Linked DNA regions of Callithrix jacchus. The protein of the gene in region 1 purifies or fractionates together with the protein of each later gene. This does not show direct contact. Links are inferred from orthologs where the notes say so. Each region holds a gene or a part of one and is shown in the gene's direction. Other genes may lie near its edges.

Region 1 (3,819 bases):
ACTCCATCTAAAAAAAAAAAAGAAAAAACATTTTTAAAAGTTAAAAACAGTTTATCTAATTTCTTTTGTTTCCTTTGCATTTGTGTTCTAGGTCATTCTTAACTGTTCAGCCCTACCTTGCCTTCTCCACTTGTTGAGCAGTCCCAAGGAGTCAATCCGGAAGGAAGCTTGCTGGACTATTTCAAATATTACTGCTGGCAACAGGGCTCAAATACAGGTAAAACAGGCAGGGAAGTCAAGGGGCATGGGAACTCCTACGAACATGGGAGGTTGTAGAATATTTGCTTTTAGAAGAAAGAATTTGTTTCCCTTTAGAAATTAGCGTCAATGTGTGCTATTGGTCAAAGAAGCTGTGTAACCAAAACTGGCTTTTTCTGTAGCCTGTCACCTGTATAGGAAGAACAAAAGAAAACTCCCAGGATGGGGAAGATGTCTAAGTCTTAGCTGATTTAGGGACTAGATTTATTTATCTTCCTGAAATGACTTTCTCCTTCCGTCTACTTCCCCTCAATTTTCTCAGGCTGTTATAGATGCAAATATCTTTCCTGTGTTGATCGAAATTCTTCAGAAAGCAGAGTTTCGTACAAGGAAAGAGGCAGCCTGGGCCATCACCAATGCCACATCAGGTGGAACCCCTGAGCAGATCAGGTATTCTTTTCTCATTGTCTTGAATGATATGGATGCTCTCCCTTATGGTTTGTAAGTCACCATAAACTGCTCTTGCTCAAACAGGTCTGCCGTCTAATCCGGCTATAATAGAATTTTACTGGTAAACTGCTACAGTGTCACTGGAATCTGGAATAGATTCCATGTAGGCCATGTGGGAATCTATTCAGTGACACTGTAGCAGTTTACCAGTTTTCCCTTCTGGAGAAGAGAAACATGACCTCGACATCCATCCTTTCTCTACCTTTTCCTATCCACCAGAGATCTAAAATCTATGTAGTTCTCAGTCATTCCTACAAATCAAGGCTAACCATGCTGTGGCTCACTCAAAACAGTTTCTTCAGCCTGGCCAACATAGAAAGATTCTTATCTCTACAAAAGATATGAAAACTAGCCGGGTGTGGTGGTTTGTGCTGATAGTCCCAGCTGAGGTGGAGGATGACTTGAGCCTTGGAAGATCAAGGCTGCATTCAGCTGTGATTATACCATTGCAGTCCAGCCTGAGTGACAGAGCCAGAGTCTGTCACACACAAATACACGCACAAAAAACAAGCTCACCGATGTGGTGGCTCATGTCTGTTATGCTAGCACCTTGGGAAGCTAAAGCAGAAGGATCCTTTGAGCCCAGCAATTCAAGACTGGCCTGGGCAATATAGGGACATCTCATCTGTACAAAAGTGTAAAAATTAGCAAGGTGTAGTGATGTGTGCTTATGGCCGCAGCTACTCAGTAGGCTGAAGCAGGAGGATCACCTGAGCCCAGAAGGTCACAGCTGTAATGAGCCATGATTGTGCCACTACACTCCAGCCTTGGTGATAGAGCAAGGTCCTGTCTCAAATAAAAAATCAGCTTCTTTGGGAAATTAATTTAGGGTATGAGACTTGAAAGAAGCAAATAGAACGCTGTTTTATATATGTGTACTCTTTTTTTTTTTTTTTTTAAGATGGAGTTTTGTTCTTGTTGTCCAAGCTGGAGTGCAGTGGTGCAATCTCAGCTCACTGCAACCTCCGCTTCCTGGGTTCAAGTGATTCTCCTGCCTCAGCTTCCTGAGTAGCTGGGATTACAGGCATCCACCACCACACCCGGCTAATTTTTTGTATTTTTTAGTAGAAATGGGGTTTTACCATGATAGCCAGGCTGGTCACAAACTCCTGATCTTGAGTGATCCTCCCACCTCAGCCTCCCAAAGTGCTGGGATTACAGGTGTGAGCCACTGAGCCTTACTCTTTTATTTTAGTTTCCATTATCTGAACATTAGTGGAAAGTGGTGGGAATAGATAGGTGTCTTGCCCTTGACTTGTTGCCTATTAAGGGGAGCATAGTCAGTATATATAAAGCGTTAGGGCCGGGCGCGGTGGCTCACGCCTGTAATCCCAGCACTTTGGGAGGCCAAGGCGGGTGGACCACGAGGTCAAGAGATAGAGCAACATGGGTGAAACCCCGTCTCTACTAAAAATACAAAAAATTAGCTGGGCATGGTGGCACGTGCCTGTAATCCCAGCTACTCAGGAGGCTGAGGCAGGAGAATTGCCTGAACCCAGGAGGCAGAGGTTGCAGTGAGCCGAGATCGCGCCATTGCACTCCAGCCTGGGTAACAAGAGCGAAACTCCATCTCAAAAAAAATAAAAATAAAAATAAAAAAAATAAAGCGTTAGGAGAGAAGAGATAGCTGTTTAGTTAAGCTTTGAAGGATAAATATGGAGTTGTAAAAGGCCTCTTAGGGAAAAGCATAAATAAAGGTACAAGAATCACAAACCTGGAGACCTTTATGAGTGTGACTAGAACGTATTGTCCTTGGAAGGGAATAATGGGAGGCAGACCTGGAAAGGAGCTAGGAGCCAGATAGCAGAGCATCCAGACTGAGCTGGGCTTGTGGTATTATGGTATTGTTGTGCCATATAATTTGGAGTTCAGGGAAAAAGGGAGCCTATGAAAAATTTTAAGCAGGTAAGTGATGTGTTCAGAGTGGTAATATTGCAGCCAAGGAGAAATTAGAGGCAAGGAGGAGGAAGATGTGGTAGCATCTACATGTGAAATGAACTAGACCAATATCAGCAGGAGGATAGAGAAAGGATATGTGGTTATCAAGGCTTAGTAAGAGCAGTGGCTCACACCTGTAATCCCAGCACGTTGGAAGCCCAAGGTGGGAGGATCACTTGAGACCAGGAATTTGAGACCAGCCTGGACAACATAATGAGACCTTGTCTCTACAAAAAATAAAATTAGCTGAGCATGGTGGTACATGCCTGTAGTCCCAGCTGTTTAGGAGGCTGAGGCAGGAGGATCACTTGAGCCCAGGAGTTTGAGGCTGCAGTGAGTTGGGATCGCACTGCACCCCAGCCTGGGTGACAGAACAAGACCCTGTCTCAAAAAAAAAACTTAGTTGGGGAACACTCTCATTCTGTGGCATGGAATGAGGTGCTGCACAATTCTTAAAAAAAAAAAAAGTGATTAAGAATGGGTTGCTGAGAGTGCAGAGCACCTGCCCAAGCACTTCATTTGTTCTGTATTAGTTTAGAACTTGCCTGGTCTCTGGCCTCTAGGTACCTGGTCTCACTGGGTTGCATCAAACCGCTATGTGACTTGCTGACTGTAATGGATTCGAAGATTGTGCAAGTGGCCCTCAATGGACTGGAGAACATTCTGCGGCTTGGAGAGCAAGAGGGCAAGCGCAGTGGCTCAGGGGTCAATCCCTATTGTGGCCTCATAGAGGAAGCCTATGGTATGTGTCTTCTCCTCAATCTAAGTCAGAACCTGAGACTGTAGGCTTCTAATGTGGTATACATATGTTGGTGGTGGCAGACTGTGAGTTAGGGAGCATCCATAGCTTCCATGTGACTTACATCTGTGTCTCCAAAACAGTTAAGAGCTCTTGCCTTAGCCAAGTTTCACCATCCACAGGGTTTCAGACATTACCATGAGTATAACGGACATGTACTGAGTAGCTCGGGTACAGCTAGGGTTTGGATTTGGCTCATCTTTTGAGTTCAGATTTGTCTCCCACCCATTTCTTCTTCTAAGTAGTGATAAATCAGTTCTTTTTCTGTTAGGCTGTACCTAAGAGTGCTGAATTGACTCATCACCCATCCCTGAGAGGTTGATGATTTGCCCAGGTCATGCAACTAGTTTAAAGTGGAATCAGGACTAGAACCT
Region 2 (3,819 bases), on another chromosome or scaffold:
ATTTCATTAAGAAACTGAACAGAAATAAGTTTTTTATGTGGCAAAACCTATTCAAACTGGGTCTCAATTCTTTGAGTCATGTTATTTTTTTAGATTTAAAACTTGGTTTCATTTCTAAGGGCTTATTTTAGAGATTTACAAAAGAAAATGCACTGCCTGGAATAAAAAAATTACTTTTCTCATGTTGCCTTTCCAAGTAGGGTTAATTGAAGTAACAGAATCCTGCCTTATTTATATCTCTTATATAGAAACCTCAACAGCCCCTCAGCATTTGCCCTTACCCTATCTCCTCAAATGCCACCCTGTATACAAGCCCTCCCACCTAACTTTCAGGATTTCCTCCCTCCCTTCCACTCTTGTTTTATGTGCTGCCTGGAGTCATCGCCAGATACCCTCTTGTTGTCTACAGATACGTAATTATAAACTTGGCAAATGCAGTGAGGAAAAAAAAATACCTGAGAGTCTAACAGAGAGACCTAATATAATTGAAGATTTAAGGAAGACACTTGTAAAGTGATGTTTGAGTCAGGATCTAAAGGATAGAATAGTAGGTGGGCAGCTGAAGACTGGAGGGAAGAATGCTCCTGACAAGAGGACAGTGTGTGTGAGAGCCTTGCAGTGGGAACTCCAGGCTAGTCCAGGATGCTGAAAGAAGGCCCATCATGACCGATCATGGGGGATGTCCCAAAATGAGACAGCATTCCTTTACAGATGAATATCTTAGAGACCATCTTCTGGGTCCTGAGTGCATTGGAGCCCAGTGGAGAGTGTTAAGGAAGGTAGTGACATGACTCAGGTCCATATTTCTGAAAGCTTAATCTGGCTGCGACTGGAATATTCATTGAGGGAGAGTTAAGAATGGAAGCAGGGGACAAGCAAAATGAGTTTTTGGACTGGTACCACTAAGTGGTGATTGTGACTGAAGCAGCAGGATTGTGCCAAATGCAGGAAGTAAGAAGTGGACCTATTTGAAATTGATATTTTCTAGGTAAAGTAGAGAGGACTTAGTGATGTGTGTTGAGCACAGTGGGTAAAAGAGGGGGAGATGGCATGGATCATTAGATTGATTTACTGAAATGGCAGACACTGGCAGAAAAAGAGTAGTGATGTTCAGCCTTAGATGTGGGAAGTTAGAAAGTGCCAGTGACACATGCAGGTGAAGATTTTTAATAAGCAGTACAATCAGTGAGCGACTAGAGAGAGTTGAACTACAGATAGCTCAGAGGTGGAAGAGAGTAGGGCTCTGGGCCGAACTCTTCAGAATCTTGAAGTTTAAAAGTTGGGTTTTAAAAAAAAGAAACCTGCAAGTAAAAAGGAAAAAAAAAAAACACACAAAGAAGCAGTCCATGATGGGGAAAAATTAATAGTGTTTCTTGCCAGAGATGTCCAGAGATGAAAGTGAATCTTTAAGAAAGAAGTCAGCAGCTATTTTCAGTGCTGCTATGAGAGATCACGTAAAGTAAAATGGAACCAGTAGAAAAGAAGATAGCTCTTCTTCCCTATCTCATCGCTCCAGAGACTCTTTCATTTGCTTCCTGACCTATGTGTTATACTAAAAGAGCTATCTGAAACGCCCTGAGATTTAGAATGCATATTTCTTTTAGGTATGATATGTTATTTTTGATTCATTTTTTTATTACTCTATTGTGAATTTATAGGAAATGGTAGCTTTTTTAGTTAAGTCCAGAAGATGTCACTGTTGTACAAAAGTCAGTTGAGGAATTACAAACATTTTGGAAGCTTTTTCATTAAGTATTCTTTTTTGGACAGAATGGCAAAGAAATACAATATGAAACTAGTCTACAAAAAAACATTTCGGGAATTTTACGAAGAAAAGATCAAGAACAATGAAAATAAAATGCTGTTAAAACGAATGCAGGCCTTGGAGGTGAGTTTTTAGAAAAAATGTGAAAATTCCAGTCATGGTGAACTTGTTCGGCTGTTCTTGAGATCCTTGCTAGGCCATCTGGACATGAAGTAATTATGTGTATTACACTCTTCAGCACTTAGGACAGAGCTTGATGCAGAAACTGCATGATGACTGTTCAGTAAATACTTGATGAAAGAATGCTGTTACCAAATTTTGTTTTCTAGATAGTACTGCTTTAAAATAGGATTTCACAACCTCAGAACTGTTGACATTTTGTTCTGGATAATTTCTTGCTGTGAGATGCTGTGCATTGTAGGAGATTCAGTAGCATTCCTGGCTTCTACCCACTAGATGCCTTCTAGTAACACCCTTGTCCTCAGTTATGGTAACCAAAGAACTGTCTCCAGACATTGCCAAATGTCCTCTGGTGGGCAAAATTGCCCCAAGTTGAGAACCAGTTCTTTGCAACAGTGTCTTTTGGTTACAAGAGTAATTTAGAACCTTCCTGGCCAGTGTGCACACAAGCTCATACCATGCATAATTTCGTTGTACGGTAATTGTTTAGCAGGGTTCCAGTCTTTTAGACTGTATTGTTGCTGAGACCTCTCCTGTCCTAATGCAGCAGTGAAGGTATCTATGTAAACTTCAAGCACACAGCCATTGTTTGTTTTTCCTTTTTCTCCTTATCAGACAATATCTGGTCAGACAGACCTAAAATATTCAGTGAACATATTTTTTATTGATCAGTAGAATCATATTCATCAAATGGATATTAAACTTCTTTAGAAAATTTATTCAGTTTAAGTACTTTAAGCACTTAACCTTATAATTACTTCCATGAAGTAGGCAGAATGGTAACTTTTCACTTTTTTTCCGATTCTTTTTTTTTTTTTTTTTTAAATGACAGAGTATTGCTCTGTTGCCTAGGCTGGAGTGCAGTGATGCAATCAGAGCTCTCTGAGGCCTTCACCTTCTAGACTCCAGTGATTCTCCCACCTCAGCCTCCTGAGTACCTATGACTACAGGCATGTGTCACCACACCTTGCTTATTTTTAAATTTTTTGTACTGGTGGGGTTTCACCATGTTGTCCAGGCTGGTCTCAAACTACTGGCCTCATCAAGTGATCCTCCCGCCTTGGCCTCCCAAAGTACTGGGATTACAGGTATGAGCCACTGCACCTGGCCACTTCACATTTAAGTGGGCAGCCTGAGGCTCAGAGGATAAACGACTTGCCCAAGGCAGTATAGCTACTGACCTTTAGAGTTTCCTCAGTTTTTGTAGATGATACTCAAACAAAAGTCTCCTGTTGAAGTTGTTCCTGCACCCAGCCACTCCCACATGTCGAGTGGGAAGACTTTCTGTAAATTCTAAATTGTCTTTTGAGAGACATAATCAATAAAATGTTATATTTTTTATACTTTAGATCTAAGAATGTTTGTATTGGCTTTATCTTAGGAAGGTAGGCTTGTTTTGTTTGTCTTGAGGAAGAGGAGAAAACTAGCAAAACCATGTGTGAATAACTTCCCCACCAACCCCACACACACATGCATTACCTTTAGCATATTGCCTTTATTTGATGGTGTTTTGCGCGACAGTGATCAATTATTTAGCCTTTCTCAGCATACAGGTAATGAAATCACTTGTGTAATTTATGTCAAAATGTACTTAGGTAGTAGGGTATGGGGTAACAAGAATGTTATGGCATGTTATTCCAGTGAATAATGCAGTCCATGGTGGAAATTTTAGTATTACAGACACATTCCAAGTGCAGTGAGTATATAAACGACCTTTTGGGAAGAAAGGAGACTGGAAGAGACTGAAAGAGGGCAGGCAGAGAAACCTGAGAGCAAGGGGATGTTCAACGAAGTAGTACTAATGGCTTTCACATTTTTTCAACAATCTTTCTTCTCTCCCAGTACTGCCCTTGAGGATATGACCTGTTAGCATG

The links.
Region 2: the proteins of KPNA6 (region 1) and RNMT purify together in Homo sapiens (co-immunoprecipitation; 3 studies listed by BioGRID and IntAct, counting the BioPlex papers as one, with this or other methods). This does not show direct contact. The link is inferred for Callithrix jacchus from reciprocal best matches to the Homo sapiens genes KPNA6 and RNMT.

What each region holds. Positions count from the first base shown.
Region 1 is NC_133508.1:68,772,387-68,776,205, forward strand, and holds part of KPNA6 (importin subunit alpha-7), read left to right. Parts: intron 1-91; coding exon 92-217; intron 218-520; coding exon 521-648; intron 649-3,209; coding exon 3,210-3,388; intron 3,389-3,819. UniProt on the Homo sapiens protein: Functions in nuclear protein import as an adapter protein for nuclear receptor KPNB1. Binds specifically and directly to substrates containing either a simple or bipartite NLS motif.
Region 2 is NC_133514.1:48,708,644-48,712,462, reverse strand, and holds part of RNMT (mRNA cap guanine-N(7) methyltransferase), read left to right. Parts: intron 1-1,770; coding exon 1,771-1,888; intron 1,889-3,819. UniProt on the Homo sapiens protein: Catalytic subunit of the mRNA-capping methyltransferase RNMT:RAMAC complex that methylates the N7 position of the added guanosine to the 5'-cap structure of mRNAs. Binds RNA containing 5'-terminal GpppC.